Linked DNA regions of Rattus norvegicus. The protein of the gene in region 2 interacts with the protein of the main gene of each other region in a pairwise test. Links are inferred from orthologs where the notes say so. Each region holds a gene or a part of one and is shown on either strand. Other genes may lie near its edges.

The links.
Region 1: the proteins of Cep70 (region 2) and Mettl17 interact in binary tests that used the Homo sapiens proteins (3 or more experiments, as listed by UniProt). The link is inferred for Rattus norvegicus from reciprocal best matches to the Homo sapiens genes CEP70 and METTL17.
Region 3: the proteins of Cep70 (region 2) and Atp5po interact in binary tests that used the Homo sapiens proteins (3 or more experiments, as listed by UniProt). The two-hybrid records come from large-scale screens. The link is inferred for Rattus norvegicus from reciprocal best matches to the Homo sapiens genes CEP70 and ATP5PO.
Region 4: the proteins of Cep70 (region 2) and Arhgef3 interact in binary tests that used the Homo sapiens proteins (3 or more experiments, as listed by UniProt). The link is inferred for Rattus norvegicus from reciprocal best matches to the Homo sapiens genes CEP70 and ARHGEF3.
Region 5: the proteins of Cep70 (region 2) and Abt1 interact in a two-hybrid assay, tested with the Homo sapiens proteins (2 studies listed by BioGRID and IntAct). The two-hybrid records come from large-scale screens. The link is inferred for Rattus norvegicus from reciprocal best matches to the Homo sapiens genes CEP70 and ABT1.
Region 6: the proteins of Cep70 (region 2) and Zbtb16 interact in binary tests that used the Homo sapiens proteins (3 or more experiments, as listed by UniProt). The two-hybrid records come from large-scale screens. The link is inferred for Rattus norvegicus from reciprocal best matches to the Homo sapiens genes CEP70 and ZBTB16.
Region 7: the proteins of Cep70 (region 2) and Atosb interact in binary tests that used the Homo sapiens proteins (3 or more experiments, as listed by UniProt). The link is inferred for Rattus norvegicus from reciprocal best matches to the Homo sapiens genes CEP70 and ATOSB.

What each region holds. Positions count from the first base shown.
Region 1 is NC_086033.1:27,054,675-27,059,108, forward strand, and holds the start of Mettl17 (methyltransferase like 17), read left to right. Parts: upstream 1-1,236; 5' UTR 1,237-1,254; coding exon 1,255-1,332; intron 1,333-1,459; coding exon 1,460-1,613; intron 1,614-1,695; coding exon 1,696-1,830; intron 1,831-3,445; coding exon 3,446-3,527; intron 3,528-3,839; coding exon 3,840-3,921; intron 3,922-4,197; coding exon 4,198-4,271; intron 4,272-4,434. UniProt on the Homo sapiens protein: Mitochondrial ribosome (mitoribosome) assembly factor. Binds at the interface of the head and body domains of the mitochondrial small ribosomal subunit (mt-SSU), occluding the mRNA channel and preventing compaction of the head domain towards the body.
Region 2 is NC_086026.1:108,716,942-108,720,892, forward strand, and holds part of Cep70 (centrosomal protein of 70 kDa), read left to right. Parts: exon of another isoform or gene 1-542; intron 543-651; exon of another isoform or gene 652-1,422; coding exon of another isoform or gene 1,423-1,479; exon of another isoform or gene 1,480-1,766; intron 1,767-2,728; coding exon 2,729-2,813; intron 2,814-2,902; coding exon 2,903-2,991; intron 2,992-3,951.
Region 3 is NC_086029.1:44,650,406-44,654,669, forward strand, and holds the end of Atp5po (ATP synthase subunit O, mitochondrial precursor), read right to left. Parts: intron 2,442-4,264; coding exon 2,312-2,441; intron 2,129-2,311; coding exon 2,016-2,128; intron 1,190-2,015; coding exon 1,103-1,189; intron 941-1,102; coding exon 827-940; 3' UTR 766-826; downstream 1-765. UniProt on the Homo sapiens protein: Subunit OSCP, of the mitochondrial membrane ATP synthase complex (F(1)F(0) ATP synthase or Complex V) that produces ATP from ADP in the presence of a proton gradient across the membrane which is generated by electron transport complexes of the respiratory chain.
Region 4 is NC_086034.1:2,574,582-2,578,532, forward strand, and holds part of Arhgef3 (rho guanine nucleotide exchange factor 3), read left to right. Parts: intron 1-1,634; coding exon 1,635-1,892; intron 1,893-3,951. UniProt on the Homo sapiens protein: Acts as a guanine nucleotide exchange factor (GEF) for RhoA and RhoB GTPases.
Region 5 is NC_086035.1:42,125,501-42,129,982, reverse strand, and holds Abt1 (activator of basal transcription 1), read right to left. Parts: upstream 2,797-4,482; 5' UTR 2,746-2,796; coding exon 2,502-2,745; intron 1,849-2,501; coding exon 1,649-1,848; coding exon of another isoform or gene 1,499-1,648; coding exon 1,136-1,498; 3' UTR 702-1,135; downstream 1-701.
Region 6 is NC_086026.1:58,070,613-58,075,143, forward strand, and holds the start of Zbtb16 (zinc finger and BTB domain-containing protein 16), read right to left. Parts: upstream 2,896-4,531; 5' UTR 2,825-2,895; intron 2,801-2,824; exon of another isoform or gene 2,554-2,800; intron 2,258-2,553; exon of another isoform or gene 2,116-2,257; intron 1-2,115. UniProt on the Homo sapiens protein: Acts as a transcriptional repressor. Transcriptional repression may be mediated through recruitment of histone deacetylases to target promoters. May play a role in myeloid maturation and in the development and/or maintenance of other differentiated tissues.
Region 7 is NC_086023.1:62,061,581-62,066,249, forward strand, and holds the start of Atosb (atos homolog protein B), read right to left. Parts: upstream 3,034-4,669; 5' UTR 2,756-3,033; intron 2,743-2,755; exon of another isoform or gene 2,603-2,742; intron 307-2,602; exon of another isoform or gene 1-306. UniProt on the Homo sapiens protein: Transcription regulator that may syncronize transcriptional and translational programs.

The DNA.
Region 1 (4,434 bases), on a different chromosome or scaffold from region 2:
TCCACAGCTGTCATGCACACTCCAGCTAGTCTCCAGAGACTCGTTTGATAAAATCAAACCTCTACTACCCACATGCAAACCAGTCATCTAAGTATCCAGCTCATACAGTTGCCCATATGTGGTCCTGTAATTATTCCATTTGGACTGAAGACTGTAGATTACTCTTTGTCCTGTCAGCAGACTTCTGCCCCCAGGAGGCTAAGTACGAAACCACAGCTAGGTAAACCACTGCTGCCAGGACCCGAGGATTTACAAAAAGGCATTTTTTTTTAATGCCATCAGTTAACCCTTCGGAACATTTAGCATTAAATTCTCCATTTGTATTTCAAGGACCAACACTACCCAATTTGGTGCATTGTTTAAAGGTTTAACTCGGATTTTCAATTCCCTAGCTGTCACCTAATATGTTCATGAACTTGGGTAAATTAACCACGGGAAAAATTAATAAAGTCGGCAACAGAGGTTTGTGGAGACAGGATTGTGGGAATTCGGTGTACTATGCGGAAGCTCTTAACGGAAAACCTGGAGCAATTTCGCAGACGACAGCTAACAAGTGTAAAAAAAAAGTTTTATATTTATTAAACTGCAAGCTATAATAATTACTAGCTCTCATTACCGTTGGTCTGACTTTTGTTATTGGTATTGTCCGGTTTCATAAAGGGAAACTAGCCAAGGCTCAGAATTCTACAGCACCAAGCGAAAACAAAGAAAGTCAACAACACTTTGCTTTTCACCTGCCTACCCTACGCTCAGCTTCACTCTTGCCCCCGCCCTACGTCGGCCACTGCTCCGCTGGTCCCCACCCCCGCCCAGCCCAGACCCCCCCAACCCAGCCCAGCCCCCCCGCCCAGCCCAGCTTAGCCCACACACCCCTGGCCCAGCCCTACCCCCGCTCTCCCAACCCTCACACCCTGCCACCACCACCACCCCCCAGCCCTCTACCCCATCTCCACCCCCAGTGAGACTGCTCCCTCCCCAACCCCTCACAAAACACGCTCCAGCCCTAGTCCGGTTGGCCCGGCTCCAAGATACGCGCAGCACTGAGGTCACGCCCCTTCTGGAGACTAAGCCCCTCCCACATACAGCTTCCGTCGCAGAGAGGTACATAGAGGTTGCTTATTGGCTGCTAGCAAAAACTCTCCTCTTTTCATTAGTAGATACCGTCCGGGTCGAAGTTCCACGGAAGATGCTCTTAGCAGCTTGGGCTGAGGGTCACAGGCACGTGGACTTCCGTTTCCGGTGTGTCCTGCAGCCATGGCCACCGCCAGGGCATCGAGATTTCTGCTGCTGTTCTGCAGATCGTGCCGCAGCCTTCGAGGACCCCAGTCCCGAGTAAGTGCATCTTCCTCTGCTGGCGGAGAACTGGGTTTCCAGAGACATCTCTCGGAGGAGCAGCGACCTCGGCGATGCCTCGGACAGCAAGCACCTGCAACTTTTCTGTTTCTTTCGCTGTCTGCAGGCATTCGCTGCCCTTGTGCCCGGTGTGTCCCAGGTAGACAACAGGTCCGATTTCCTGGGGAAGAAGCCCCATCGCAAGCATCCGGGCATCCTGCATCTTCCGCACGTACATCTGCCGCAAGCACTGACTGACGCCGCGCAGTTACTGCTTCTTGGTGAGAAACTGCGGGAAGGGGAAACCAGGAAAACAAAACGAGGTCAGCACGATGCGGTGACTCTTTCTATCTGTGACCGCAGAGAGACCCAAGCGCAGTGTAGAGAAGCAGGTGCAAGCACTCACCAACTATCTCTGGAGCCGACATTTACCAGTAGAGCCGGAGGAGTTGCAAAGACGGGCCGCCTATCTTGAGAAGAAATTTCTGGAAAAACAAGGTAGGGGCTTAAGGCTAAAAGTAAACCAGATAGAAATGTCAATGAGAAGTTAGGAATAAGGACTAATTTAAATCTCTCAGATGAATGCTGCCGTTTCTTATTTGATGCTGTAGTAACAGCCCTACTAAATGATGCCCTCCTAGAAGGCAGATAGAGCCACAGGTTGGGGAAAGAGATTCGGGAAAGGTCAGAAGTTTAGGTCTTTGGATTTTCTTGATTTTTTTTCCCCCACCTCTGCAAGTCAAATAGATTACCACTATATTTTGAGTCCGGCGACTAAAGGCCATATGGCTGTCCAGTAAGTGCGAAACCCACTTCAGGGATAGAAAATGATTACATTTCAGATTAATTTTTAAGACTATGAACTTCTTATTGCAAATTTGCCCTTTACTAACCCTGTACTCCCTGCACTCCTCACAGTACTTGGTTAAGGGTAGTGTCTTAGTGTTCTGGTTTTTTGTTTGTTTTAATATTTATTTATTATATATGAGTATACTGAAGCTGTCTTCAGACACACCAGAAGAGGGCACCAGATTCCATTACAGATGGTTGTGAGACACCATGTGGTGGCTGAGATTTGAACTCAGGACCTCTGGAAGAAGAGTCAGTGCTCTTAACCGCTGAGCCATCTCTCCAGCCCGTGTTCTGTTGTTGAAGAACCATCACGGCAACTCTTAGAAAAGAAAGCGTGGGGCTGGGGATTTAGCTCAGTGGTAGAGCTCTTACCTAGGAAGCGCAAGGCCCTGGGTTCGGTCCCCAGCCCCGGAAAAAAAAAAGAAAGCGTTTGACTGGGGCTGGCTTACAGTTTCAGAGGTTTAGTCCATTGTTGGTGTGACAGCACGCAGGCAGACGTGGTGCTGGAGAAGGAACTGAGAGTTCTACAGGATCTGTAGGTTTGCCCTTGCCATGGCCTTTTGAAACCTCAAAGCCCACCTCCTAATTCTTTCAAATAGTGCCACTCCCTAGTGACCGAGTATTCCAATCCACTAGCCAATGGGGACCAAATCGGGGCCATTCTCATTCAAACCACCACAGTAGGTGTTTGTAGTACTTTGCCCAGTGGTACAGATCTCCACACAGTCACGAGACTTGGATTTTCAAGCCTCTTTCTATAGTAATAATTGAAGATGTCTCACTCCTAAGTATAAGGGGCGGAAAAGTCCATAAAGGCGCCCTTATCGTAGCTTTTAAATTTTTACCACATGGGCAAGAGAGGTGATACAGAGTGGAAAAGCACTCGCCACCAAACCTGACGATGACCTTCTCTGCCAAGTGGGTGGACGTGAGAACCGAACCAGACCTCTACTCACACGATAAATGAATATAAAGAATGTTTTCATTTTTATCAGGCTTCTGCCTGCTGTGAAGCAAAACTCGGAAGGGTTAAGTTGGCTAAACTAGTATTTTAGCAGTCCGGATACTATTAGGTAGGTACTGCGTAGGCCAGATACTGTTGGATACACTCTGACGGTGGTGGCCCTCAGTCTTACCACGCTTCCCTGAAGTTTTGGCCTCTTTCTCAGACTTTGAGCATTTTCTTGGGGCAGGGAGGTGTGCACCACATGGGATCTGAGCGATTCTCAGAGGTCCTCACCTCCAGTCCTTTTCGCCCCAGACTCAACTCAGACAGAGGAAAAACTTCGTGAGGCGGTACTGCACGCCCTGCGCAAAACTACCTACCACTGGCAGGAACTCAGGTAAGGACTTACAGGAAGGGTACAAAGAAGACATGTTTTGAGCAGAACTGAAGAGCCCATCACCTCTCTGTTTGAGAAAACTGTCTGAAATCTTCTGTACTAGAAGGTGAAAGGACTGACCGGAAGAGTCCTTGACATGTACTTTGTTTCATAAACTTTAGAGGGTATCTGGGGCTGGGTTATTTCCTAGGGAGGATTGACAATCTGACATTATTATTATTGTTGTTGTTGTTGTTGTTGTTGTTGTTGTTGTTGTTGTTGTTATTATTATTATTATTATTATTATTATTATTATTATTATTATTATGGCAGCTACAATGAAGAACTGAGCCTGATCTATATGGCAGCAAGATTGGACGGTGGTTTTGCTGCAGTTTTCAGGGCATTCCATGAGGTAAAAAATCTCTCCGCATCCAACCTGACCCCCTTTATCATTGATTTTGTTTTCTGTAAATTAGTCTTCTGTGGTAGGAGTTCTTAGACACATTAATGGTTCTATTTATCCTTTGGAAAAAAAAAATCCTGCGGCCCAACAAAGGTTAGAATCACCCAGGTGTTTCCTAACCGAGAGTATGTTTTAGCGAATCTCACAAGTGCGTTCATCTCTCTCCTCTGTCACAGTTCCCTGATAGTCGCTAAAGCCCTGATTGCTATTCTGTGTCTCCTTCAGATCCAGGCTCGAATCCCAGAGTTCCAGCCACAGACGTTGATGGACTTCGGGTCTGGCACTGGTTCTGTTGCCTGGTAAATAACTTTGTTAACCCTTAGCCCTATCAGGTCTAACTCTAGAGCAGTAGTTCTCAACCTGTGGGTCGCAACCCCCTTTGGCAGTTTGACTACCCTTTCACGGGGGTTGCATAACAGATACCCTGCATATCGGATATTTCCACTGTGATTCATAACAGTA
Region 2 (3,951 bases):
TAGATAGAGCTCTGAGTTCTAGGCCAGCCAAAGCCATATAGTGAGAACCTGTCTCAAAAGAGAAAACCCAGAATAAACAATGTTTATCAGTTTGGTGTATGTGTGTGTGTGCACGCGCACATGGGCACACATGCATGCACATGAATGTGTGACTGTGCACATGCCTGAGTGTATGTATGAATGTGTGTATGTGTGTTTGTGTGTGTATTTACATATACATACATATATACACATGTATGTATGCAGAAATTAGAAGAAGGTGTCGGATCCCTTGAGACTAGAATTCCAGACATGTACGAGTTCTCATATGGTGCGCTGGGAATCAAACCAGGTACCAAGTAAGAGAAGCAAGTTTCCTTAACCACTGAGCTTTAGGCAATTATTACGGAAGGAGATTGCCAGAGGTAGGAATGTTAGGACAGGAAGAATATGTATTTATAAAGTGAGACATGCTTATAATATATTAATGGAAGATAAATACACATACACACACACACACACACACACACATATATATATATATATCTCCACTCTAAGACTAGGTAGGGGGGCTGGGGATTTAGCTCAGTGGTAGAGCGCTTACCTAGGAAGCACAAGGCCCTGGGTTCGGTCCCCAGCTCCGAAAAAAAGAACCAAAAAAAAAAAGACTAGGTAGAACTAGGTATGAACATATCATTTAGGGATATCTATCTATCTATCTATCTATCTATCTATCTATCTATCTATCTATCTCAGTGTAATACTTGTTCCTGGCAAGAATTATTGAAAAATTTTAAGTTTTCCAGGCAATCTTTGCCAAAGATTTGATTTTTAGTAATGTGTATGTATATTCATGTATGTAGGTTTATGTGCTTGTGAGCAGGTCTCCAGAGTCATTGGAAACCTCCAGGGCTAGAGTTACAGGTGGTTTTGCACTACCCTATGTACGCTGAGAACTATTTTTTAGGCCTGGCGGGATGGCTCAGAGGTTGGGAGTACTTGCTATTCTTGCAGAGAACGTGGGTTCTATTCCCAGCACCCATATGGTGGCTCCCAATTTCCTATAACTCTAGGTTCAGGGGATGGAACGCCTTCTTCTGGCCTCCACGGGCACTTTAACACAAGTTGTACATATACACATAAATAAGTCTTAAAGAAAAAATTAAAATTAATTTTCCATGTATGAGTGCTTTGCCTATATCTATGTGTATGTAGCACGTGTGAGCCTGTACCTGTGAGTCAGAGGGAAGCATTGGATCCCTTAGAACGGGAGTCATGGATGATGTGAGCCACTATGTAGTTAGAAACCAAACCTGTACCCTCTCCTAACTGCTAAGACATCTCTCTGTTCCCAGTCTGTATTTTTATCTTTGTAATTTGAAATTATCTAGAAAGTACAGTAAATGCTACCTTTTGAAAATAATTGAACATATTTTCTTCTAGATTGCTTTGTCTAATTGATTACTATGAATGTAAACTTAGAAAACATCATATACAAAGGTATAAATATAATTTTTTATTTTTTTTATATTTATTTTTATTATTATAAATTGTTTCTGTAGCTTTTGAGACTTTATGGTATGGAAGTCTTTATATCATTATAAAGTTCTTTTCCAAATATAATTATTTTTTATTCTATGAGAATTCGATATCTGTATACAGTGTATTTCAAAAATATTTACCATCTGTTTCTCCCCCTCCCCCCAAATTCTGGATTCCTCACCACATCTTCCTCATAGCTTCATGTTGAAATTCTTTTTAATAAAAGTCTGCAAGATAGTATTTTACTGTTTAGGTTAAAATGTACTGTATCTACATGAAACAACAGAAGTGTATTTCCTCTTATATTGTATTAGCATCGTGGTATATCCACTGGATAAAAGTACATTCATGAAGTATATGCACATACAGTACATTGACTGTGGGGCAGAGCAGAACATAGTTATATACATTTAAATACTAAAGATAGAATGTCAGTGAAAATCCAGGCATGTAGCTGGGCGTGGAAGTTCATCTGTAATCTGAGCTCTCTGTAGGCTGAGATAGCCAAGGACTGAGGATAGCCACAAGTTTGAAGCCAGCCTAAGCTACATAGTGAATCACCAGCTGGCTTGAGACTTGCCGCGATAGTCCCGTGGGAAGATTACATTAATGCCTATGTAAGTAAACTTAAGGCATAGTGGTATATACTGTCATTGTGAGGCAGAGGGATGGTGTATGGGGGCAAAGGGAGAGTGGTGAGCGGTAAGGAAGCAGGAGGCTCTGCACACAGATGGCAGTTCTCAAAGACGGATGGGATGAAGGATTTTTCAGTTAGGTGAATATACCAGCAGGAAAATGAACACATTTAGGCATGTTCGGTAACCGCAGAGGTTTGGGACACAGGGTAAGTGCGGTGTGCTGTGTACTGTGTATTGGTATCCACTTACACTCTACAGGGTGTTTTTAAAAAGACCAGGGAATGTTCCATTTGTATTTTGCTTGTTCATTCAAGTATTTTTCATGCCCCCCTTGTGTCCCATGACAAAGTTTTTGGTTCTCACACATTCTAAGTGAAGAGTAGTAAACAGACTACTCTAAGACTAGGTAGTTGCTGCGATGTGGTACTATTCTCTGTACAACAAGTAGGAATTTGGGATTCCCATGTTTAAGTTACTCAGCCCTTACTAAATTGGCTTCAGTTTTGCTAGCTGCAAGTTCTCTTTAAGGATAGAGTTCCACAAGATGCACTGTGTTTGTCTTCCCACAGGCAGTGTGGGGAGGATGACAGCCAGTCAGAAGGAAAAGACTATCTAAACCTGGGCGTCTCACCAACCTATAAAGGCCTTCTGACGGTATGGAGACCAGCAACTGACAAATACCTTTTCATAAAGCAAAATAATCCCTAGGAGAGTTACTTATTTTACTGTGAAATACATTGCAGTCGTTACAGAAGCAACTTGAGAAATCCAATTCCAAGATCGACGTGCTGTTGGGTGAAAAGCTGAACCTCCAAAAAGATCTGGAAAACAGGTGAGGAAAACAATAAGAATGTTAGACCAATCATTCCTTCCCCCTTACTCTAAAACTGCACCTGAGTGAGTACCTGACCCTCCTGTGCTCCTGTTGACCAGTAGTATTTCATGGTGAATGGTGAACGGAATAAGAATCCTTCGGCAAGCAAGGGAAATGCGAAAATCGGAATCCATGTTGAGGATAAAATTGGCTAAGAACTTTGAGGAGATTCAGGGTTCCGTTTTCTGTTTGTGTTTATATGTGGGTGTAAGTGTGTGTGCAGTTGAGTGTGCACATTTGTGCTCCTGTGTGTGGAAACTAGAGGTCAGCATCAAGGGGCACTGCTGAGTTGTCTACCTTGTTTTATGAGACAGGATCGCTCCGTGAGAACTGCTGGCTGCTGGGAGTTTGCTAATTAGTCTAGGCTGCCCTGCCAATGAGCCCTAGGGATCTCCTGTCTTTGCCACCACCCTCCCAGTGCTGGGATTGTAAGTGTGCACTCTCGTGCGTCTTAGTGGACTCTTGGGTTTGAACTCAGGTCTTCATGTTTGCATGCCAAGCACTTTACCAGACGTAGCTGTCTCTCTAAGCCCAGGTTCAGTCTTTGTTTAGTTTTTCTTTTAAATTAGCTATAGTGAGGGCTGGAAAACTGCTGTGCAAGCATGTGAGAACTTGAGTTCAGATACAGAACTCTTGTGAAAAGGCAAATTGTAGCAGTGTGTATCTGTAACTGCAGCATTGGGTGAAGGTGTAAAGACTGGCAGATTCCTGGAGCTCATTGGCTGGCCAGTCAGCCTAGCCAGTTGATGGAAACTAGGTCCAGTGAGAGAACAGATCTCAAAACTAAGATAGGCAGTGATGAAATATGATACCTGATGCCATCTCTGGTCTTCACACATTCACACACATGTGCATGTGCACTTGTACACAAACATGCACATGCTCATATCCACACAAACACATACATACATATACTGT
Region 3 (4,264 bases), on a different chromosome or scaffold from region 2:
TGAGGGCCCACAGCCATGCTGGAGCAGGCAGGGAGTGGAGCCCTGGGCCCGCCCCTGCCCTTGAGGACTTGCTGCACTCTTTCTGCCCATTCTTGAGGTATCCACCAGGAGCGCTCTGGAGTAGTCAGAGTAGTCTGTTAGGCAAACACTCTTGGGAGTGCTCAGGGAGGGACTACAGTCACTCAGGGAGATCTGGCTGCTCCAGCAGCCTCAGAGGTAAGCTTCAGGAGGAATGTGTGTGCTGCTTGGCTTAGGTGAACTCAGAACACTGGGGGAGGGGACATGGGACGTGTGTGTAGCCTGGTGGGCTGGCTCCAGCAGTGGTCAAAGCGTGCCTTCTGTCACAAGGGAACAGGCGTGAGCTGGAGATGGCAAATGAGGGTCCTGGGGCCTCACCACCTGCTGCTTAGCCATGTCGCTCTGAGCAAATCACAAGACTGCTAGGAACACAAAGTGTAGTCTTGAATGTTAGAGCTTCCTACAGTTAGGGGCTCTGTGTCAGGATTGAGAGCCTTTCAGTAGGGAGGTCTTCATGACTGGTTAGGGACCACTTCTCAGCTCCCTTCAAAGATAGGAGATTTTGATAGGCAGTACTAGACTATATATGTAGGTACAATGCTTACTGAGTCAATGAATTCCTACGAATGACACATACAAACTAAATCCTCCAGCCCAAAGGACTTTCTAACCTGGAGATGAGAGGATTTGTCCTGTGGGAGGTTGAAAACCTGGTGCTGCCCCTTAAAGGACAAGGGCCCTCACGTCCTCTGTTCAGGAAGCATTTTATTGTGCTCCAAAGACAAGCGCTCACACAGGTGACAGTCTCTCAGAGCAGATCCCGCATGGCCTTGCTGAGCTTCTGAATCTTGCTCTTTGCAGACATATCAACGTATTTCTCTCCAATTCGGACAATCATCCCACCCATGATTGATGGGTCAGTCTAGGAAAGAAAACAGGCCGCACACATGAAACACAGCGCAGATGAGAACATCCCGGGGTAGGCAGGCCACCCACCACACAAATGGGAACTACACCTGAGTCAGAACCATTGTGTGTAAGCCCTGCCCTGGCACTAACACACTCCACAATTATGCAAACCCACCTTGACCTCCAGGTTCAGTATCTGGCCTTTACTCAGGAAGCTATTCAGCACTGTCTTTAACTCAGAGAGAACAGCTTCATCTAAAGGCTGAAAAAGAAGCAACAATCCTTTAAGCAGAGCACTACAGCAGCAAACACAGTCAAAGGAGAGAGAAATACCACAGTGGGTATGAAACCAAGACAGGCCAGTGACTCCTGACTGACCTGTGTGCACATGTGTATGCATGCATGCACGAATGTGTGAGTGTGTGCTTGAGTGTTTTGGGGTGGGGGTGGGGGCCTGGGGAATGGCCACACCACAATGCATGCTCTAATGCACAGGTTTTAGGCAGAGGGCTTGGCCACACAAGCTCCCCACCCCCCCAACTGAACTACAACCTGGATGAGGCCAGGGGCTGTACACTACTACTCATGTGTTGCATCAAACACCTTTCCTGTTCTGGTTGACCTATGTCATGGGGAGAACAATAAAATGACTTGTCGCAGGGCATATAATGCATAAAGAGTATGGGCCTCTGAGAGGAGAGCCTGTGTTCAGATCCTGAGCCTGTCTTGTTGAGCTGGGCTTCCTGACTGTAAAATAAGGACAATTACAGTTCAATTGGATGCCTATTTTCTGAGAGCAGTAACACATTACAAGGTCCCCAGCAGATGGCAGCCCTGAAGAACGGTGACTCGTTAACATTTCATTCCAGTGGATCAGAGGGCCTGTGCACCCCAACCCACAGGTAAATGCTCCCATCCCATTTAAGACTTCAGGTTGTAACAGGGCCTAAGTCATTATTTCATAAAACACTCAGACCCCCACGACTAATCACTAATAGGACACACACTGGGTCTTCTGAGTGGAAGTTGACAGAACCTCACGAGGGACCAGCCATGTCCCCAGTGCAGCAGCAAGAGCTGTTACTTACAAATGCTGTGGTCACTGTGCACGGCACTTCTCCACGGTGGACACTCATGATGGTGGAGAAGGCAGAGATGACGCCCTGGGTGTTGCCTAGGCGACCATTTTCAGCAAGTAAATCTGGGAAAGTGACAGGAAACTCACTGAGCCACCGAAAGCAATGACACCTTGTAGCCTGAAAATACCATACTCAGTCCTTTAAGGATATGAATGGGGTCTGGAGAGGCGCTCAGTGGTTATGAGCGCTGTTTTTAAATACCCAACAGGGATTTAGGAAAAGCCCACTGGGACCCCAGCACTCACTCATGAGGTTGGCCGTCAGCGGAGAGAATTTTTCCTTTGTAGTGATGTCCTTCAGGCTTTTCACTTTGATGGAGCGCTTAATGTAGGGATTCAGAACAGCAAGGGACACCTTGGGGTCCTTCAAGAGTTGCTGAAAGCACACACAGTCCCAGCTGACTTCACATGGGACTAAAACCATGTTTTGAGGAACCTCAAAAACACCTTCTGGAGTTTCTTGCATGCATTTTTAAGAAGGATCACGAGAATTAAGCAGCCAAAGTCTCACCATGTATGACACGGCAAGCCCGCTTTCCTCACAGCACCACCCACAAGTACAGAACCCTTGAGCTTCTGTGTCTCAGGAGACCCTAGGTGTGCCCTCCCTCCAACAGAGGTCCTGGAACAAACCTAACATTGAGAGACTGGTCTGAGAGGGCGAAAGTCACAACACCTTGTCAATCCATCTCATCCCCTGCTCTCAGCAGCCGCCCAGGGCTCTAGGACCCGCAGCAGTTCTTCCTGGGTGGGCACCTTCCTGGTAAATGTGTCCTCCTGCTTGTCAGCTACTCCCAGCACCTCAGTGGCTCCTGGCCAGAATTTAGGCCATTGCCATAGAATGCAAAGACTTCCATGCTACGATTTACACTGGAGAGGCTGCACAGTTCGTGTGTCTGCTAGCAAAATCCAGGAGACAGTCAGGGTGACCTCTTTTATCCACACCCCTCCCCACCCTCATAATCTCACTTATGTTCAGAACCTCAGATAACTGTCACCCCTCTTTTTCCTCTATGACAGACTTCTGGATTTTATTAAGCCAAAACCTAAGTCATTGGAAGAGGGAGAGAGGAAAGGGGGGATGGGAAAAGGGGGGGCAGAGAAAGAAAGAAGGGGGGGCAGGGAGGGGTGGGGGTAGGAGGGCACGCACCTGTACCTGTGTGGGTCACAGTGAATGTGTGCAGGACAAACAAGGGGGCCCTACAGCCTTAGACTCGATTTTCTCGTTCCACCATGTGAGTCCCAGAAAATGAACTCCAGCTGTCAGGCTTGGGGGCAAGTATTCTTACCCAATGAGCCATCTTGCCTGCCTCAACCCCATTCTAATGTCCACCGTCTAAATCACCATCTTGATGGTGAACAGGACTTCCTGGCTCAGGGAGAGCAGAACTGACCACACGCAGCCGATAAACAGAGGACACGGTGTTATCCTGTGTGGCCGGGCCTTTTCTCTTCAGTAGATGTGTGGATTACAAAATATACACCATTCTTAAAACATGTAACTGGAAAACCATCTTTTCTCTTAGCGACCGACTTTATTCTCTCTCAACTCTTCCTTTATGGGAGCCCTACAGCCTTAGGGGCAGCTACCCCAGAGGAAATGGAAGGGGTGGCCTCTGACCCGAGTCACACTTGGGTTTCTGCTAATTCACAAGGCTGCTTTTCCTCTTCTGTGTTTCAGGAGAAAATGCAAAGAGGAAATTGCAGCCTGGGCAGCTGCTGTCTCACTTTGCTGGCACCCAACTCCGACTGTGCACCCAGCCATTCTTTCTTCACATCTTGGGACCAAAGTAATTATACAAACCCAGGAAGGGCAAGATGGCCTGAGCTCAAAGGTGCTTGCTACCAAGGCCGCTGGCCTGAGTTTGACCCCTAGAACTCACAGTGTAAAGGGGGAGGACTCTGACCTCTGCACTTGCACTGTGCGTGCCTGACACTCCCCAACTCCCAAGAAAGAAAGAAACGTTTAAAAAAAAAATAATTAAACCCAGGAAAAGTTTCTAAAGAAACGTTCAGGAAGAAAATATAACTTCAGTACCGTGAAGATGGAGTCGAGGACATTTCTCCCACTCTAGGCTTATAAACATTAACTCGGTCTTTAGATTCTTGTCTAAAATGGCGGGTGCTCTTGAGTTACTTTTATTTTCTAGCTGAAAAACTTGGGTTCATGGTAATGAACTTATGCATCTCCTGGCTCAC
Region 4 (3,951 bases), on a different chromosome or scaffold from region 2:
GGTGAGTCACACAAGGCCTGGGTTGTGAGTTTGACCCTTGATTTCTGTCTATAAGACCCACCAAGTCTTATAGATAAGTCTCTTTAAGAGAATCTTAAAAGCAGGTGGGCTGGATATATGGCTCAGCCATTAAGCATGCTTGTTCCTCCCCCTCCCCCTCCTCTTCCCCCTCCCCCTCCTTTTCCCCCAGACCCACTGAACTAAATCCCCAATCCTCACTTGCCCGACTTGAGTTCTTTTTTTTTCTTTTAAAGATTTACTTATTATTGCTTACATGTACACCTCCAGGCCAGAAGAGGGCCCTAGATCTCATTACAGGTGGTTGTGAGCCACAATATGGTTGCTGGGAATTGAACTCAGGACCTCCAGAGGAGCAGACAGTGCTCTTAACCTCTGAACCAAAGAGCCACAGTTCAGTTTCCAGAAGCCCATAGGATGGCTCACAGCTGCATGTAACTAACCCAGTTCTGACTCCCTCTTCTGGCGCCGATGGGCACCTGCACACACCTGGTCCACAAAGACAAAGTCGTGCACATACACAAACACACACAAAGACAAAACAAAAAAAATCTTAAAACTAAATCAATGTTTAAAAATTAAAAGGAAGCTTAGGAGACAGGTCAGTAGGCAAAGTGCTTGTAGCAGTATGAGGACTGGGGCTTGAATTCCCAGAATCTATGTAAAGCCAGGCACAGACTCATGTGTCCATAATCCTAGTGCTTCCACAGTAAGATGGGGAGTTAGAGATAGGATCCCCAGAAGGTTGCAGACCAGCGAGCCTGGCATTTCAGAACAGCAGCAATCAACAAAGAGACCCTGTCTAAGATGAGGACTAATTCCTAGGACTGCCCTCTGGTTTCCACATGTGTGCTGTGCACATATATCCCCCCTCCCCATCATCATCATCATCTTACATATATGGAGACACATATAACTCACACAAAATTTAAAAACAGGGTGCATGGCACCCGAGTGATGACAGCCAAGGTTGACTCTCGTCCTCCAAACACCCATGAACACCAAAAAATACACCAAAAACTACACGCAAAATAAAATAAGTGGTTTCTTCTACCTTACTGAGTACATAGAAAGGGTTAGGAAAATTCTGAGACTGGCATATAGCTCAGAGGTAGAAGAAGATCAAACGTGCATGAGGCCTTGGGTTCAACCCCCAGCACTAACCTGAGCATGCGTACACACATGCATAAGCACATGCACACACCCTGTTCTGTATGGACCTGCAACGCTGATTCTTTTGTTAACAGTTTAAATTGCCAGAACACGCTAACGAGTTTCGATAGGGATCTTTAGTCCCCCCCCCCCCCCCCCCCCCCGGAGCTGGGGACCAAACCCAGGGCCTTGCGCTTCCTAGGTAAGCGCTCTACCACTGAGCTAAATCCCCAGCCCCTGATAGGGATCTTTAAAAAGTGAATTTACAACTAATAAAAGTTCCTTTTTGTGTCTTGTCTGTCATTTTGAAGATCCTACCAGCTAGTCTCTTCCACCTTTGCAGATAAAAGGACGGTGGCCGGGTCTGGAGACCGGTTTGGTGTCTGTCCATTCCTGAGTGATGCTGACCTGACCCTTCACAGCAGTGACATTGACATGCAGCCTTCTCTATGTTTCTTTCCCAGCTGCCTTGTCTCAGCTCCTATGACAGCTACTGCAGCAATCAAGTTGCTGCCAAAGCCCTGCTGGACCACAAGAAGCAGGACCACAGAGTGCAGGATTTCCTCCAGCGCTGCTTAGAATCACCCTTCAGCCGCAAACTCGACCTCTGGAATTTCCTTGATATTCCCCGGAGCCGGCTAGTGAAGTACCCTCTGCTCCTTCGAGAAATCCTGAGGCATACGCCAAACGATAATCCAGACCAGCAGCACCTGGAAGAAGCTGTAAGTTTGCCAGTTTCTTTCCCTCCTCCTGGGTCAGTCTCCATAATGGCTAGCATCAGGTCCGTAGGTACCTTGTGCACGGGCCCAGTCTTGGATTTCAGGCCTGGGATGTCAGATTCCTAAGAAACAAACCATTTTCACAAAGTATCTTAAGATCCATTTGGTTGTGTGTTTGTGTGCCTATTTGTGTGTGTGTTTGCTTGTTTTTGTTTGTATATTTAACCCAGGCCAGGGCTGGCCTAAAACTAGTGATCTAGGCTAGCTTCGAACTCATGGCCAATCTCAACCCTTCAGTGTCATCCTCTCAGATGCTAGGATTATAGGATTATGGGTATATGCTACCACACGCAGCTTGGGTTTTACAACACCCCCACCCCCGAATGTTTTTCATGCTGTTCTAATCTGGTATTAGCATTGCTAACTGTGAGAGCTAAGATCTGTGTGGAGACTTTGAGTGGAAATGGGAATTGGCTTCTAATTAGCTCAAAGCTCACCAAGAAGGGACATCCGTTTAAGATCTAGCTCCCGGGGCTGGAGAGATGGCTCAGTGGTTAAGAGCACTGACTGCTCTTCCAGAGGTCCTGAGTTCAAATCCCAGCAACCACATGGTGGCTCACAACCATCTGTAATGGGATCTGATGCCCTCTTCTGGTGTGTCTGAAGACAGCTACAGTGTACTCATCTATAAGAAATAAATAAATCTTTAAAAAAAAAAAAAAAAAAAAGATCTAGCTCCCATCTGTACCTGAATTTAGTAGGGTGTCTGATCAAACTTCCTACTTGCTACTGCACCGTCATTAAGCAGATATTTACTGAGCATGGGCCTCGTGAGGGCGGTAACCTCAACACTTGAGAGGCAGGGGATCCCAGGTTTGAGGACATTCTGTGCTACACAGTGAGAAAAACCAGCTTTTCGTGGGCTCAATGTACAGGGTCACCACCCCACATCCTTGATCTCATTTTACAACTTCACTCCTGGATATCCTTTCATTGGCTCCCCGTTCCCTCGTGCCCTTCCTAACACTGTGACTCTTTAACACAGTTCCTCATGCTGTGGTGACCCCAACCATAAAGTTATTTTTGTTGCTACTTCGTGACTGTAACTTTAATACTGTTGTGAATTGTGGTGTAAACGTCTGGTATTTAGGATATCTGATAACACGACCCCTGGGAAAGGATCATTTGACTCCCAAAGGGGTCAATACCACTGGTCACTGCTGTAGACAATCCTGGTCCTCTACTCAGCAGAAAACAATGTGTCCCAGACTATAACGTGCCACATTTTGTAAGTGATAGAGCTGGCATCTAAATCCTGAATCTAACTATTTAGAAAACTTTAATCAACTGCATAACATGGAAAGTTTCTGGAGTTGATTTGAACCCAGGTCTGAAGCAATCTGAATCCTGTTTTAAAGACAAACAAAACAAAACCAAAAAACCCAAGGACAGGAAGAAGGCTAGTAAGATGACCACATTAGCTTAATGACCTAAATAAGATTCTTAGTTGGCCTCTACTTGGGTACCATGGCATGCGTGTACACACGCACACATATACACACACACATACACACACACTCACACACATACACACACACTCACATACATACACACACATACACTCACATACATACACTCACATACATACACAAACATACACACACATACACACACACTCACATACATACACACACATACACTCACATACATACACACACATACACACACATACACACACATACACATACACACATACACATACACACACATACATACACATACACACATGCACACACACACACACGTGCATCTTTATTAAATTGGGTATTTCTTGTTTACATTTCAAATGTTATTCCCTTTCCCGGTTTCCAGGCCAACATCTCCCTAACCTCTCCCCCTCCCCTTCTAAATGGGTGTTCCCCTCCCCATCCTCCCCCCATTACCGCCCTCCCCCCAAGAATCCCGTTAGACCACCTCAGAAGGCTCGTTTTTGATCTGACATGATGGTAGGAGCATTTGTGTAGGTGATTTGGTAATCAGAAGCCTGAAGCTGCTTGATAAT
Region 5 (4,482 bases), on a different chromosome or scaffold from region 2:
AGGTTCAGAGGTCCAATCTATTATCAAGGTAGGAACATGGCAGCATCCAGGCAGGCATGGTGCAGGCAGAGTTGAGTTCTATACCTTCATCTGAAGGCTGCTAGTGGAAGACTGAACTCTAGGCAGCTAGGATGAGGGTCTTAAAGCCTACACCCATAGTGACACACCTACTTCAGCAAGGCCACATCTCCTAATAGTGCTACTCCCTGGGGCAAGCATATTCAAATCATAAGAGTTTTTTAACCCCTAAATCTATTAGTAAACATCTTTCTTATCACATATGCAGTTTTTGTACAGAAGACATGTACCAAAATGAATATTGAAACATTTTAAAAGATAAGGCTTGTGATAGCTTGTAAATGCCTTTTCTAGGTAAGGATTTACCCTACAAAGAGAAGGAAGATAAATTATTATTCTATTTGTTTATTTAAGAATATTAAAGCTAGGCCTGTTGACAACCGGCCTACAATCCTAGGTTCTTGGGAGGCTGAGACAGGATTTCATGTCCAGACCCTACCTGACCAGAGTCAGCTCAAGGGTAACTTGAACAACTTACAGAATGCATTCAGGGCTAGCCTGAGCACTTGAGTGAGGCCCTATCTCAAAATAAAAAAGGTTTGAGGAGCATTGGGATCATATCTGCTAGAGTAACTTGGTGGTATGTGTGGCTTCAAAAGAAATTAAAACTTATTGAAAAAAACTAAAAAGCATATAAATTATTTTTTATTTTTAAACATAAACCACAAATTGGACCACAAATCCAATTCCTGTTAATTCAGCCCTCCACTACAGTGAACAAAGACCACAGACCACTACCCTAGTGGAAGGCAAGTCTACTCTTTCCAGCCAGAAACTGTTAGGTGCCCACTGAGAAAGAGGCAGGCAATCAGATGACAAACACAGCAGGCACCTACAGTGGTCTTCATCCTGGATAGTATGAGTAAAGTTCTCAGACTGGCACTTAAAAGATTTGGTCAAAGTGGGTAAAAGACACCAACAAAAAAGGCCTTTTACCAGACTCTTGGTCTGTGGAACAGAGCAAACATCTGCCTAGATGGTTACACTCTGCAGGAGGCAGATGAGAAGGAGGCAGGGCTGGCAGGCATTTCTTCTTCCACTAGTAGTCCCTTATAGGCTACGGTTCTTTCCTGCTCTCTGCAAGTAGAGAGGCCCCAAAGATCCTGGCAAGTAGCCCTCTGTTGGATCGGGCCTGGTCCTGGACTGTGGCCAGCCGAGCTCGTTCCCGCCCTCCTGGCCGTGCTCCTTTCTGGGCCCTCAGCTCCTGCTCAGTGGGACGTTGAGTAAATGTCCAGGAGCTATTTGGTCGAGTAGCATCCCCATCAGCTGCAAGAAAGCGTTGTCCCTGTTCTACGTTTCGAAGATAGAAGTCAGTCTCTCGTTTCGCTTGGGCAACCTCTGCTCTCAGGCGTTGCCTTCGTACCTGGCGCTCAAAGGCAAGGTGTTCACTGAGGTGGGACCAAGTAAAACGATGCAAATACTGTGGGCAGAAAAACAAGAAAAGGTTAAAATAGGGACGATCAGAATGGAGAAGAAACTGGGAGCTTCTTAGACCTAGCAAGAAAGATGGGGTGCCCAGGCTAGAGCTGGAGGTAAGAATGAAAGTGTGACAGAGAAACCTAGAACTCACCTTGAGGTTCCACAGGTCATAACGGAAGGGACTGCGCTTGCGGGCACCCATGGGTGTGTTATGTAGACTAGCTGCCACTCGCTTGGCTATGCGTTTGTCTCGGAACTCCACCCAGCCTTCGGTATAGTCCTTGCTGTATTTAGCTCCCTTCTTTCCTCCTGCAGCCGCGGCTGCCTTCTTTTTTCGTCTCACAAAGGGGTCTGTGAGCCAAACACAATGAACATCCTGGTCAAGCACCCACTGAGACACACCTCAGTTTGGCCATACGTCCAAACCTGCTTGTTTGGGTGCTACTTTACAACCCTTTTCGGGCTGTCTGTAAGGTGTAGCTTCTCCTTTCTTTAACTCATTCCTCCATTTCCAGTCCCTACCTCCATTTCCAAATTGTGTACGTCAAGAGGTGGAAGAGGCTGAAGGAGGTTAATTATACAGTGTCAGGGACTATGTGAAAAATCGAGGAGGGCTAGAGAGATGGCTCAGTGGTTAAGAGCACTGACTGATCTTTCAGAGGTCCTGAGCTCAATTCCCAGCAACCATTTTATAATGGGATCTGATGCCCTCTTCTGGTGTGGCTGAAAACAGCTAGTGTACCCATACAAATAAAATAAATCTTTAAGAAAAGAAATCCGAGGATATCTTTCGGACCTTATTAGCATACTCTATCCACTCACCCTCTCCATTTTCCTTCCCCGCCCCTGCCACCTAAGGGACATGAGCGCTACATACTTAGCAGCTAGTAGGGAGCCAGAGCTTTCCCAGAGCCAGCACCCCACGCCTCATACATGGACAGCTAAGAAAATAAGTCGTATCCTCTGCCCGCAACGCTACCCTCTCCTTTCGACGTAGGGCTTACCCTCGGCCTGGAAGAAAACGCGTCCCACCTCACCGTAGACGCTGAGCAGGTTGCGAACGTGCAGGGGCCGGAATCGCGGCGGGACGTGGCCCAAGTACACAATACCCGGAACTACCTTCTTCTTGCTGCCGTTGCAGGACGCTTCCTCGGCCTCCTCCAGCTCCTCCGCCGCCTCTGCATTCACCTCTTTCTCTTCCTCCATCGCCGCCTTTTGCTCCTCCACCAGCTTTCCTACTTTCACCATGGCAGATATAGGAAGCACGACAGCCGCAAATCTGTCGCCACCTGATGACGCATATCCTGCGGGACAATCTGCGGTCCGGACTAAGTGACGTAAATCTTCGGTGCCCTTCTGGGGCGGGGCGAGACGGGGAGGACTGGGCGGGCCTAACAAACTAGACTCTCGAGAGGGGGTGGAGCTGCAGGAGTGGGTCTTGGTAGACTATCTCGGTCCTGTGCAACTCTGATCTGAGGCAAGCTCTCACGGAATACTTTTAATTTTTAAAAAAATGTGCATGAGTGATTTTTGCCTCCATGCTCCAAGAGCGTGCCCTGGTGCCCCTCGCGTGGTTTTTGCAGAACAGTGTTGGGAGAGTGTGCTGTAGAGACTAAAACACCGTCTACCAGGACTGTGGTGTGAATGTGGTTGAAGGGATAACTCACATGTTAAAAAGTTTTATGAAGTTCAACTTGTAAACTTCAGTCTGAGCTTTGAAGTTTTAATTATTTGAAGTTTCAATCGAATTTTAAACATTTTAAAAATAAAGTTTTTGAAGCAGCTTATAAATTTGCACATAGCTTTTGGAATTTTGATTGGAGTTCCGGTTTTATATTTTTAAACACGCCTCTAGTAATTTTACATTTCACCTTGTGACTATTTAAATCTGCAAATGTATGAGTAAAAAGTTTGTTTGACTACCGTTGTGTTCGAATCTATTGCAAGTTGATGAGCGAAGGTTCTCTGTTCAGCTCACTGACCACGCTTTGAACAGTGCCGAGTGAAGCCTCGGAACAGCCGCCAGGAGGCGCGGTCCTCACTATTGCTGTCCGCTTGCGCGGCTACGATCATGTCTGCCTATCCCGACCTACACCCCAGAGCCCAGCTCCTAATAGTTGCTGATGACGCTCGAACGAAGCTGCTAAAAATGATGTACTAACCTTTCCTTCTACTTTACGGACGGAGCCTGAGTACTTAAGTTTTCCCTCGCCAAGGCCCTACATAATTGTTTATCTTTCATTATCATGAAAATTATAGAGACATAAGACAGGGCAACCGTGTCCGCAGAATCTGGGCGTTATTTGTAAAGCTCGGGTGCGTCTGAGGACCTAATAACTAAACCTTACTTTGGGGACTTTCATTGAACAGGATTTGCTGTTGGTTACCTCTGATCCTTTTATCAAAAGTGAATGTGAAGAGAAAAGACCCCTACTTTTAATTTCTGACTACTTCACCAGCAATGCTGACACGTGAGAGCGCCTTACAGAGTTATTTCAAAACATTGAGAGCTAGAGGAGGGATACAGGTAAAGAAGATACAAGAGTGTGATGGCTAAGTGGCAACACTAGATGCTTTCTTTACTTTGTGTGTGCTTCAAATTATTAATGAAATATTTATACACATTAAATGCCAAGTAAACTGGAAGTAGTGGCAACCCTGTAATCCTCAGCTCTTGGGAGATGGAGAAGAAAGGAAATTCCAGACCAACCTGGGCTACAAGAGAGACCCTTTTACATTTTATTACATATATAAGCATTGAGCGGATCGTGAAGAATCATTGAGTCGTCCAATGAATGAACATGCGAAATAGTTGTGCAAGGCATCTTTTCATCGTTACCCCTTCTTGTGACCCAGTCGTGAAAAGTAACTGCTTGCGGGAACTCAAGGAATACCTAAATTGTTTTTTTTTTTGTACGGCACAGCACCTGAGGTTTGTTTATTTTACCATAAATCCCACAAGTTCAAATGACATTGGTTCACTGC
Region 6 (4,531 bases), about 51 Mb from region 2:
AAATGTATGACCATCCTTTCCAACAGGCCCAGGCTGCTGAGAGGAAAAAGAAGGTTTACGCTTCCCCACACACTTCCTCCCCCTCCCCAGTGCTCTGAAGCAGTGCATTGGATAAAGTGCATTGAATCCTAGCCATTCTTTAAGCCTGAGAGCAGAGCCTTCCTGTGTAAGACCAGTGTCCAACATGAGGCTCACAAACTTACTTAAAATTAAGGAGTTTTCAACCCCTCCCCTTAGTCAACCTAAGCATTCAGTCTTACCGCTCACCCCCTCCCTATTGGCAAACCCTCATCCTCAATGGCTTTCTAGTTCTCGCTCACTGAGACGGCCTTAGGAGACAACCAGAGCCTGCCAGCACTGGCTGCTAAACATGATGGTTGGTCTCCTATCTGCAGGCAATGGGGTTGTCCTCTCCTAGTCATCCCAGACACATCTCCTCTCCATCATCAGTGACTTCTACAGCCTTTGTCCTTGCACTCTGGTCAGGGCTGCAAAGGATTGGCAGACCCATTTCTTAGGCTGGGACAAACACACCCCACCACACACACCCCCACCCCACCCCTACCACATCACATTCTAGCTTAAGTCATTTCTAACTACAAGTTCCTCAAAGTTGCTGTATGTGTCCAAGAGATGTGTGTGTGTGTGTGTGTGTGTGTGTGTGTGTGTGTGTTCGCTCACCCACATCTACATACAATTATACAAGATGCTACAACCCCCTCTTTTACCTCTGGCCCACAAGGCACCAATGGACAGAACGCTCTAAGAAGAGAAAGCAGAGAACATCATAGGAGGCTATGTTCCCAACAGCCTTGAGGGTTCACACCAGACTGGATGCCTCCCAGGTGTTGGCAAGCCCAGTGACAAGGAGAAAAACTGACACTGAATATGGTTCTGTAAGTGACATTGGCACCAGCATCTCTGGCGTGAGTTAAGCCCAGAAGGAAGGGAAGACAGAGCTGAGACACAAAGGCCTCTCCCAGAGTGTATTCTGGATGACTGAGAGGCTCTCGACTTTGAACAGCCATTGAGACATGGGCAGAAAGACCTAACGGGATAAGGTCTCAACCTCTGTCTGCAGCCAACATTTCACACAGCCTGGGGAGAGAGGGTGGAGAGAGCTAGGCTTCTCACGCACTCTTCATAGAGCATGCCTTCACCCTCAACGAGAGTCTTAAGGACCCTTAGACGCAAAACTCATGCAGAAAGAGTTAACAGTACTGGCTGGCCACTCTTACTGCCCACCCCAAAGTAGAAACGGAGGGCATCAACAGTGGTGAGATATTCATTCGTCAAAAGCTTCTTGAACATGGTGTGCTTTCGGGAGAGATCAGAGATTCAAGAACTAAGGGAGAGAAGCCGAAATAAAGAAGGTTCTCTGCCAAATATCTTCCTCCAAAGGAGCCTTTTGAGCCTTAAGGGAAATCAAGGTGCCCTCTCCCTAACCCGCAGCTCCGCACCCGATCCGACTGTCGCTAGGTGCAGCGGTCAGCCGACTCTGGGCAAAGCCAGCGCTAACCCGCCACAGAGCTCCAAGGATCGATGGCGCAACACACCCCTTGTTCCCAGAGACCCCCCGCCTAGACTTGCAGAGGACTTTGGCAAACTTGGAAAAGCAACTTTTCCCCGGGAGTCAGGTGCCTGGAAGAAAGGGATCGGAGCTGAAAAAAGGAGGAAAGCGAAAGAGACCCGGGAAAGGAGAATGTCCGAGCCGGCTGGACGCCGCTGCTAGGCCGGCCGGACGGCGCAACCCCCCGGGGGAGAAAAGGAAGCACAAAAAGCCCCGAGGCAAGTGGTGGGAGGCCAAGCGAGAAGAGATCTCTGGGTCCTCCACCTTCCACCCAGGATCGAGATCCCTGGGAAGCCACCAGCAGGGTCCCCGGCCTCCCGCACCAGCTGCCGGCGTGCCCGAGTCAGACACGCTGGGAGCGTGGCGGGGAGGAGGCGAGCTGGTTGCAGCGGTGCGCGTCTGTGCATTCCGGTGGGGTCCGCAGGCTGCCAGGATCGTGCGCATTTCGAGCGCGTGCGGGAGCGTGCGAGGGGCTGGGCAAGCTTGCAGCGCGCCAGGGTGGGAAAGACATTCCGAATGCATCAGGTGCAGAGCCGGGAACCCACCGTGCGCGGCCGGGAGCGCACAGCGAGCTCCGGCTCCACGGGCTGTTCCCACCGAGAGCCGAGGAGGACCCGGAGCGCCAGAGTCTCTCCGAAGCTTCCCTCTCTCCTTAAAAGGGGGCATCAAGTCCAATCAAGAAGAAGAAAAATCCCACCACGTTTTCTCTAAAGAAAACAAAACCCGAGCGGGTACCAGTCCCCTCCCACCCGCCCTCCAGGTTCACTCCTCGCTTCCTCCGGTTCCAGCTCCCCAGCCCGCCAGCGAATAAACACAAATAAATAAGACACAATCCTAGCTCACGCCAAGCGCACCGGTCCGCATACATATGAGCACCCACAGGCTCTCTGCTCCTCCGCCAGCCCTTGCCTGTACAAAGACACCCAGTCCCCGACTATACGCTCCCGCAGCCCTGGCAGACCTCCCGGCCTGCCACCTCTCACCCGGACCGGACCGTGCCCGGAGGAGGAAGGTTGGTGAGGCAGCTGCGCCCGAGCTGACAGCCTCGGCTCCGCTTTCTAGCTGACCCCCAACCGGCACGGGCGATCGCTGCAGAAGCAGCAGCAGCAACCAGAGAACCCCGCACGAGCCCAGCGGCCGAGTGGCCAAAGCTAGCGCCACCCGCCTAAACCTCTCCCGCCCCAGGGCGCCTGGCGGGAGGCGGTCGCTGGGCGGTGCGAGTCCTTCCCGGGTTCCCTACACACATACACTTACCGCTTGCAGAGCCGGGAGCTTGGGGTGGGTGTGCGTGCCTGGGGGGTTAGGGGTGTGCCTGGATCGGGGAAGGGGTGTTGCTGGGGAACTGTTGCTCCGGATCTCACGGCGGCAGCGGCGGCATCGCCCGGCAGTTCGCAGTACCCGCTCTCATCACCCTTAACTCCTCTCTGCCGCTAGGTTAGCAAATCACCACCGGCTGCGGCGCCTCCGCCGCGTCCCACGTCAACGCCGAGCCCCCTCCCCTGCGAGGCCCCGGCGCCTCTCCATCTTTAGTGCTGGCGGCCGAGCCCGGCTCCCTGCCCACAGCTGCCCCCTCCCCTCCCCCTGGCCGGCCCTGGCCCGCCCACCCCGCCCCACCCCCGCCCTGGCTGAGCCCGTGCGCGCTCCCAGCCCTGCCCTCCCTTCCCGGGCGCTCCCCTCCCTTCCCAGCGCTCGGCGCTCCGGGCTTCTCCTGACATCTAGCTGCTGCCCCGGCGCCAGCGGCTGTTGCCCGTGGCTAGGTGGAGAGGGCAAAAGGTTGCAAGGAAGAGGAGCCGCAGAGGATCTGGCAACCCCCAAGGGGTCAGAAGGATGAGAGGGAGGAACAGTTCCCACTTTAGCACCAGGTTTTTCATTTCCACTGGGCATGCGGTTTATCCCGCGTCCCCAACTCCCCCAACTCCGGTGCTCAGGAGCGCAGTTTTGTCCCGTTCTCTATTATTTGCACCAGTGTGTGGCATCTAGCCTTTCACTTTTCCTCGGGATTCGGACTGCATCCTTCCTTACCCTAGACACTAGTTTTAAATGGGTCGTTTCCCCAGTCCCAAACCAGGCCTCTCATGCCTGCCCGCGGGGATGAGCGTCTGAGTTAGCGGGATTTGGCCAGATAAATCCAGAGGGGCCAGTAGAGAACTGGTAGGAGGTGACACCTCGGTTTTGCAATCTAGATTGTCGCAAACTGAGATGTCAAGGCCCGAGTAGTAATACTTTCTCACTCCCAATCTCAGGCATCCTCCCCTTATTTTCCCCCGGCCCCAAGAACCTGGATGGAAAGTTGTGAAGATCCTGCGCCTAGCTCAGCTCAGCCTTCCGGAGCGACTGGAAGCTACGAAGAGCGCTAGGCCGCTCCAGAGTTCTTTCTTCCCTCGGCGGCTGGCCCACTTTAAAGGGCGTAGTTGAGATGCCAAACCGTAAACCAAAGAAAAATCTGTCCTTCCTCTACCTGCGGAAAGCTCCGTCTCTTCCTTTTCACATGAAACTGGGCAGGAGATTGGGGGGGGGGGAGGTACTTTTCTGAGCTCGAGCCTCCCTCAAAAGCCCCAGCGCAGTGTTTGTTGGGGGTGTGGTGGAGAGCGCCACCCAGGGGTCTCAGAAAAGTCGCCCACACAGCCCCACCCTCAAGTCATGAGGTCTTAGTTCTAGGCTTCGGTTTAGGGATGCTGTGTCCTTGGCTTACCACGGATCTCCCACAGGAGTCACAGAATCGCATCTTGATTCCCCCGGAGCTAAAGGAGGAGGAAGGTGGGCGGTGAATGGAGACAAAAACCCAGGAAGGCCAGGTGGCAAAGCTTACACATGGTCTGCACGGGGCTGCTAACGTGGTGGTCATTTATAATAACAAGGCATCCTAACAAGTGACACTCCAATTCTCAAATTACCAGCAGAACGAAGCACTGAAAAGTGAAGGAAGAAAGCTGCAATCGAGTTACCCTCTCATAGGTAACA
Region 7 (4,669 bases), on a different chromosome or scaffold from region 2:
AGAGCAGAGGTCATGCAGATAGGCACACCCCATCACACAACTACAAACCCCAAGTCAGCTCCAGGCCAGCCCTTCACACTTAAAATACTAACTTTCCCCAGAAATCTGTCTTTTTAACAGAGAAAAGAAATCCAAAGCGGGGCAGTGGTGGTGCTGGGATTGGTGGTGCTCACCTCTAATCCCAGGACTGGGAAGGTAGAGGCAGGCCGGTCTCTTTGAGTTCAAGGCCAGCCTGGTCTACAGAGAGAGTTTCAGGATGGCCAGGGCTATACAGAGAAACCCTGTTACCTTCACCCCCTAACCCCTCCACCCCCAAAAAAGAAAAACAAAAAAAAACAAAAAAAGAAATCTAGGGCTGGAGAGATGGCTCAGCGGTTAAGAGCACCCGACTGCTCTTCCAGAGGTCATGAGTTCAATTCCCAGCAACCACATGGTGGCTCACAACCATCTGTAAAGAGATCCGATGCCCTCTTCTGGTGTATCTGAAGACAGCTACAGTGTACTTATATATAATAAATAAATAAATCTTTAAAAAAAAAAAAAGAAATCTAACCAAAAACAAGGGATGGAAGGAGAGAACTGTCAGAAGGCACTTTATAGTTCCCACCCCTCCCCCCAGGCCCTGCAAACCAGAGATAAGGAAGCAGCAAGCAGTCAACTAGAAACAACTGGAGTATCTCCCCATGCCCCTCCCCCTCAGGCACAACCAGTACTCAAAAAAACCTAAAGCATTTCTTTGTTGCCATGGCACAAAAATGGTCTTCACAGACCATTAGCCAATATTTCAGTGACCAGACTGTCAAGTTGAAGGCCAACAGTCCCCACTGTCATCCTTATTTGGTCAGCAGTCTGTGAGGAATACCAACCATAATGCCCTTTATCATAATGCTAGAGGCTGAGGCAGGAGGATCTAAACCAGTCTAGCTACATTTTGAGAGGTCCTCTGTCAAAATCAAACAAAACAAAAATTACAAAAAGAAACAAATGAAAAACAGGTTACAGCCGGCCTTCACACTCCACCAGACAGTTAAGGTCAGACGGTTAGACGGGGCTACAAGACATCCTATCTCAGACAAAACACAAAACCAACAAAGAAGCTGAAGGGTGGTAGTACACGCTAGTTCACACACTCTGGAGGCACAGCCAGGCAAATCTCTGAGTTCAAAGCCAGCCCAGTGAAAAACCTGTCTCCAGAAAACAAAACAAAACAAAACAAAAACTAGAACCAAGCCCAACAAATATAACAAAATACCTTTTCCCACCCCTCTTTCACGGATATCTCAAAGTCATTCCCCTCCAAAAGATCTCTCATCTCAGACTTCCATAAGACAGTGCCACTAACTACTTTCTGTAACCCGGTAATACTTCCGTTTACTTCTGATTATGTCACACCTGAGGATGGGTCTGTGTTTCTTCCCCAGTCCCATTTCAAGCTCAGGAGAAACACACATCAGAATTCAAAAAAGCCTAAATACTAGCACTAGTGATTTGGTCAGCAGTCCTGACAGTGTAGAGAAACACTACGGGTGAAGAGTGGAGAGATTAATTGTACAGGGGGAAACTGCAGCAGCTCATGTGGTTGTAGGAGACGGAGAGAAAGGTGACATTTACACTTAGGGACTGAGAAACTCTCCCACATCAACTGTTGCCTTCCTTTCAGGCCATACTTTGCCATTTCGCCAGGTCCCCCTTTGAATGAGATCCTAAGAATATTCTGGTCCTTCCCGTGGGTGAGATGGCTAGAAAGTGGAGAACGTCAGTAGTGGCAGTGTCATGAGAGTATAACCTGTTCTCATTTCTTCCCTGCCTGTTCTCCACCCAGGCTTTAAAGTTCAAGAAGGGCGTTTTCTTGAGCACCCCAATTTCCAGGTCATCTCAGTTGCCCTCCTGAGCTCTTGCCTCAAGGAAGCCAGGTGATGACATGATGCCCTACTTGACCCCAGCATGCCTGGCATCTGCTCATTAATCCAGAGCCCTATTAGTTCCCTCCCTGTCCAGAGACGCTCTAAGACTCACTCCTCTGCCACCCAGCTTCAAGCTGACTCATGGGGAAGGACTGCAGGGAGAGGGGACAGGCCAGTATAAGCCAAACCTCGCCCTCTACACTGGGGATGGGCAGCAGCTGGCATTAAACAGCTGTGCCAGACTGTGGCTGCCAAGGACTACAGCTCCCAACATGCCGAGAGCAAGGTCAGCAAAAACAACAAGTCCCAGAATACCATGAGGTCTGTACCCTCAGATACTTGTTAGACTTGGGAGGTGGGAGAGGTTGTGGTACAGGAAGAACACCTAGGCTCATTCTATCCTTCCCTTCAGTTTCAAGACACCCATTTTTACCCTAACGAGGTGGGGGAAGAATTCCTATCCATGTGTTTTCCACTCTTATCCTAGGCAGAGTTCCGCTGCTCACTGCTGTACATTTTGTCCTCATACATGTCTATACACGCTAAGGTGACTGTTCCCAAGACCACTGCTGTGAGTAGAAAGGTCAATCTCTGCTTTTCACCTTCCCTCCCTCTGACTCCTGGCCTAGAGCCCTTCACCCTTAATAGAGAGGGAGCAGACCTCAGGGACCCCTCCAAACTCAGACACGGAGACTCACCTTGGCTCCTGGACTCCTTGTCCTGGACGATTTCCCCCCCACCCCCTGCTCAGCCTCCCAGGTCGGTTCTCATCCCTTCTTCACAGGCTGGGACAGGCCCCATACCGTGCAGAGGTTTTGGAGATCTGATCCTTCCACCTAGTACACACTCACCCCACTCCCAAATTGGCTCCGCCGCGGTGGCCGCTGCTCCGGGCCCTTCCGTCCCGTCCCCGTTCCGATCCCTGTCCCTCCCCTCGGATAACCAGTCCCCCCTACTACGGGCCCCCAACCCAGACAAAGGGTGGCTTAGGCTGAGAGCCTTGCTCTGCTTGGCTCTTCTCTGATCAGCTTCGTGTGCAACACTAGCGGGCTCTGGCGTACGCAGCCCCTCTAGCTGCTGTTGCACCCCTCCCTGCGACGGTCCCTCCCCGGGGCCGCCCCGGCTCCTCGCCGCAGACTCAGCTGCCCCTCTGACTCACAGGCCATTTCCTACCAGCTGATGGGGCCGCCCGCCCCGCCCAGCGCCCAGCCACCCCCAGCACTGCGACCACGGCTGCCACGCCCCCCTCAGACCACACCCTCCAAGGGCAACAACTATGTTCATTGGTCCAGTGGAGGCCAGCCTCTCAGCAACCTCAAGCGTGAGTCACGCCCTCTCCAAGGGGCGCACGCCTATTGGTCCACATAAGGGCAGGCCTACCCAATGTCGCCCCGCCCACCTCCTTAACCCTTTTTTCTGTCCAAGTCCTAAGCAATTCTCTGCCCTGTCATTTAACCTCATTCAGACTTCATCCTCTCAGCGCTCAACAAATCTTTCTCCTCCACACTTCCTGTTCTTAAGTAAATTAATAGGAAGCTCCAGGGCTTTCACAGATACAGTTCAACAATCTCCAACTCATACCAAACACAACCACACATAACCCCAAGCCCATTCATCCCCCCACCCCATCCCGAAATAGAGCTCCAAGAGCGTTGTTGCTATCTAGTAAGCTTTCTACAAAAGCAGGCAAAAAAAGACCTAAAGTCGTACCGTATCTCCATCCATACTGAAAGATGGCATTCGCACCCCCCTCCCTTTTGCCTTTGTTTGGAGACCCCAGGAGGCTCCTGAGATAAAAATACATTTAAATTTCAGGGATTCAGGCCTCATCCGTTGGGCTCAAAACTCTTCACGGATCAGGCTTTGGAGCACTCTTTGCTAACAGACCTCTGCTCCAAGGAAGCAGAGTATCCTCAGCAGTGAGTTAAAAGGCCTTCTGCCCAGAGTCAGTCTGGAGACCAAGTTAGTCTTCATGACTCACAGCTCCCTCGAAACTCACCAAGCTCCCCTTGAGTCACTGGGCCCCAGGCCCAGCCCAGAGCCAGCCAAATTAAGCAGTAGCAGAATAAGCATCCCTAACCTTTGTCCTTAGCTCTGTAAATAATCGGGGTGGAATTTTTGCAAGGCCTGGACATTCATAGACACTTTTTAGAGGGACTGCTCTGGAGATAACCTGAGAAGATGGGTAGCCTTGTCTACCTTGTCCTCTGAACTTATCAGTGGGTCAGACAGGTTGTCACCAACTCAGGCCTTTTCTCAGTCACAGAAATGGAACAAACAGCAGAACCAAAAGAAGTAAAGGCCTGTGCTTTGCCTATGCGATGAGCCCCAAGGACCATTCGTTTATTGCTGCACTGTAAAAAGAGCCCTCCCCTCCCCCTCCCTACTTCCTCTCTGGGTTCTACAAGTAATACAAGCAAACAACAGTCCTCTAGGATTCTTTCTCCTTACCTCTAATGAGTAGGAAACTCTTAAAAAAAATAAAACAAACCAGCTCCCTAAGATTGAATTCCCTGTATGAAGGAGCAGGATTTTAAAGTCTCAAAGCCCTAAACACAAGTGAAGAATCAATATGAGAATGTATTTGCCTCAGCAAAGCTCACTAGGAAGACAGAAAGACAGAATATCTTAGGAATAATTCTCAGCAGCCCTCCTTTGTTCTGTCTAACTATAATTTCAGGCTTTAGTTTTCTACAAAGATCAGAGTGGGAACACTAAAGGAGTCAGGATAAAAAATGTTCCAGGCCTCAGTATGCCCTAGGGAA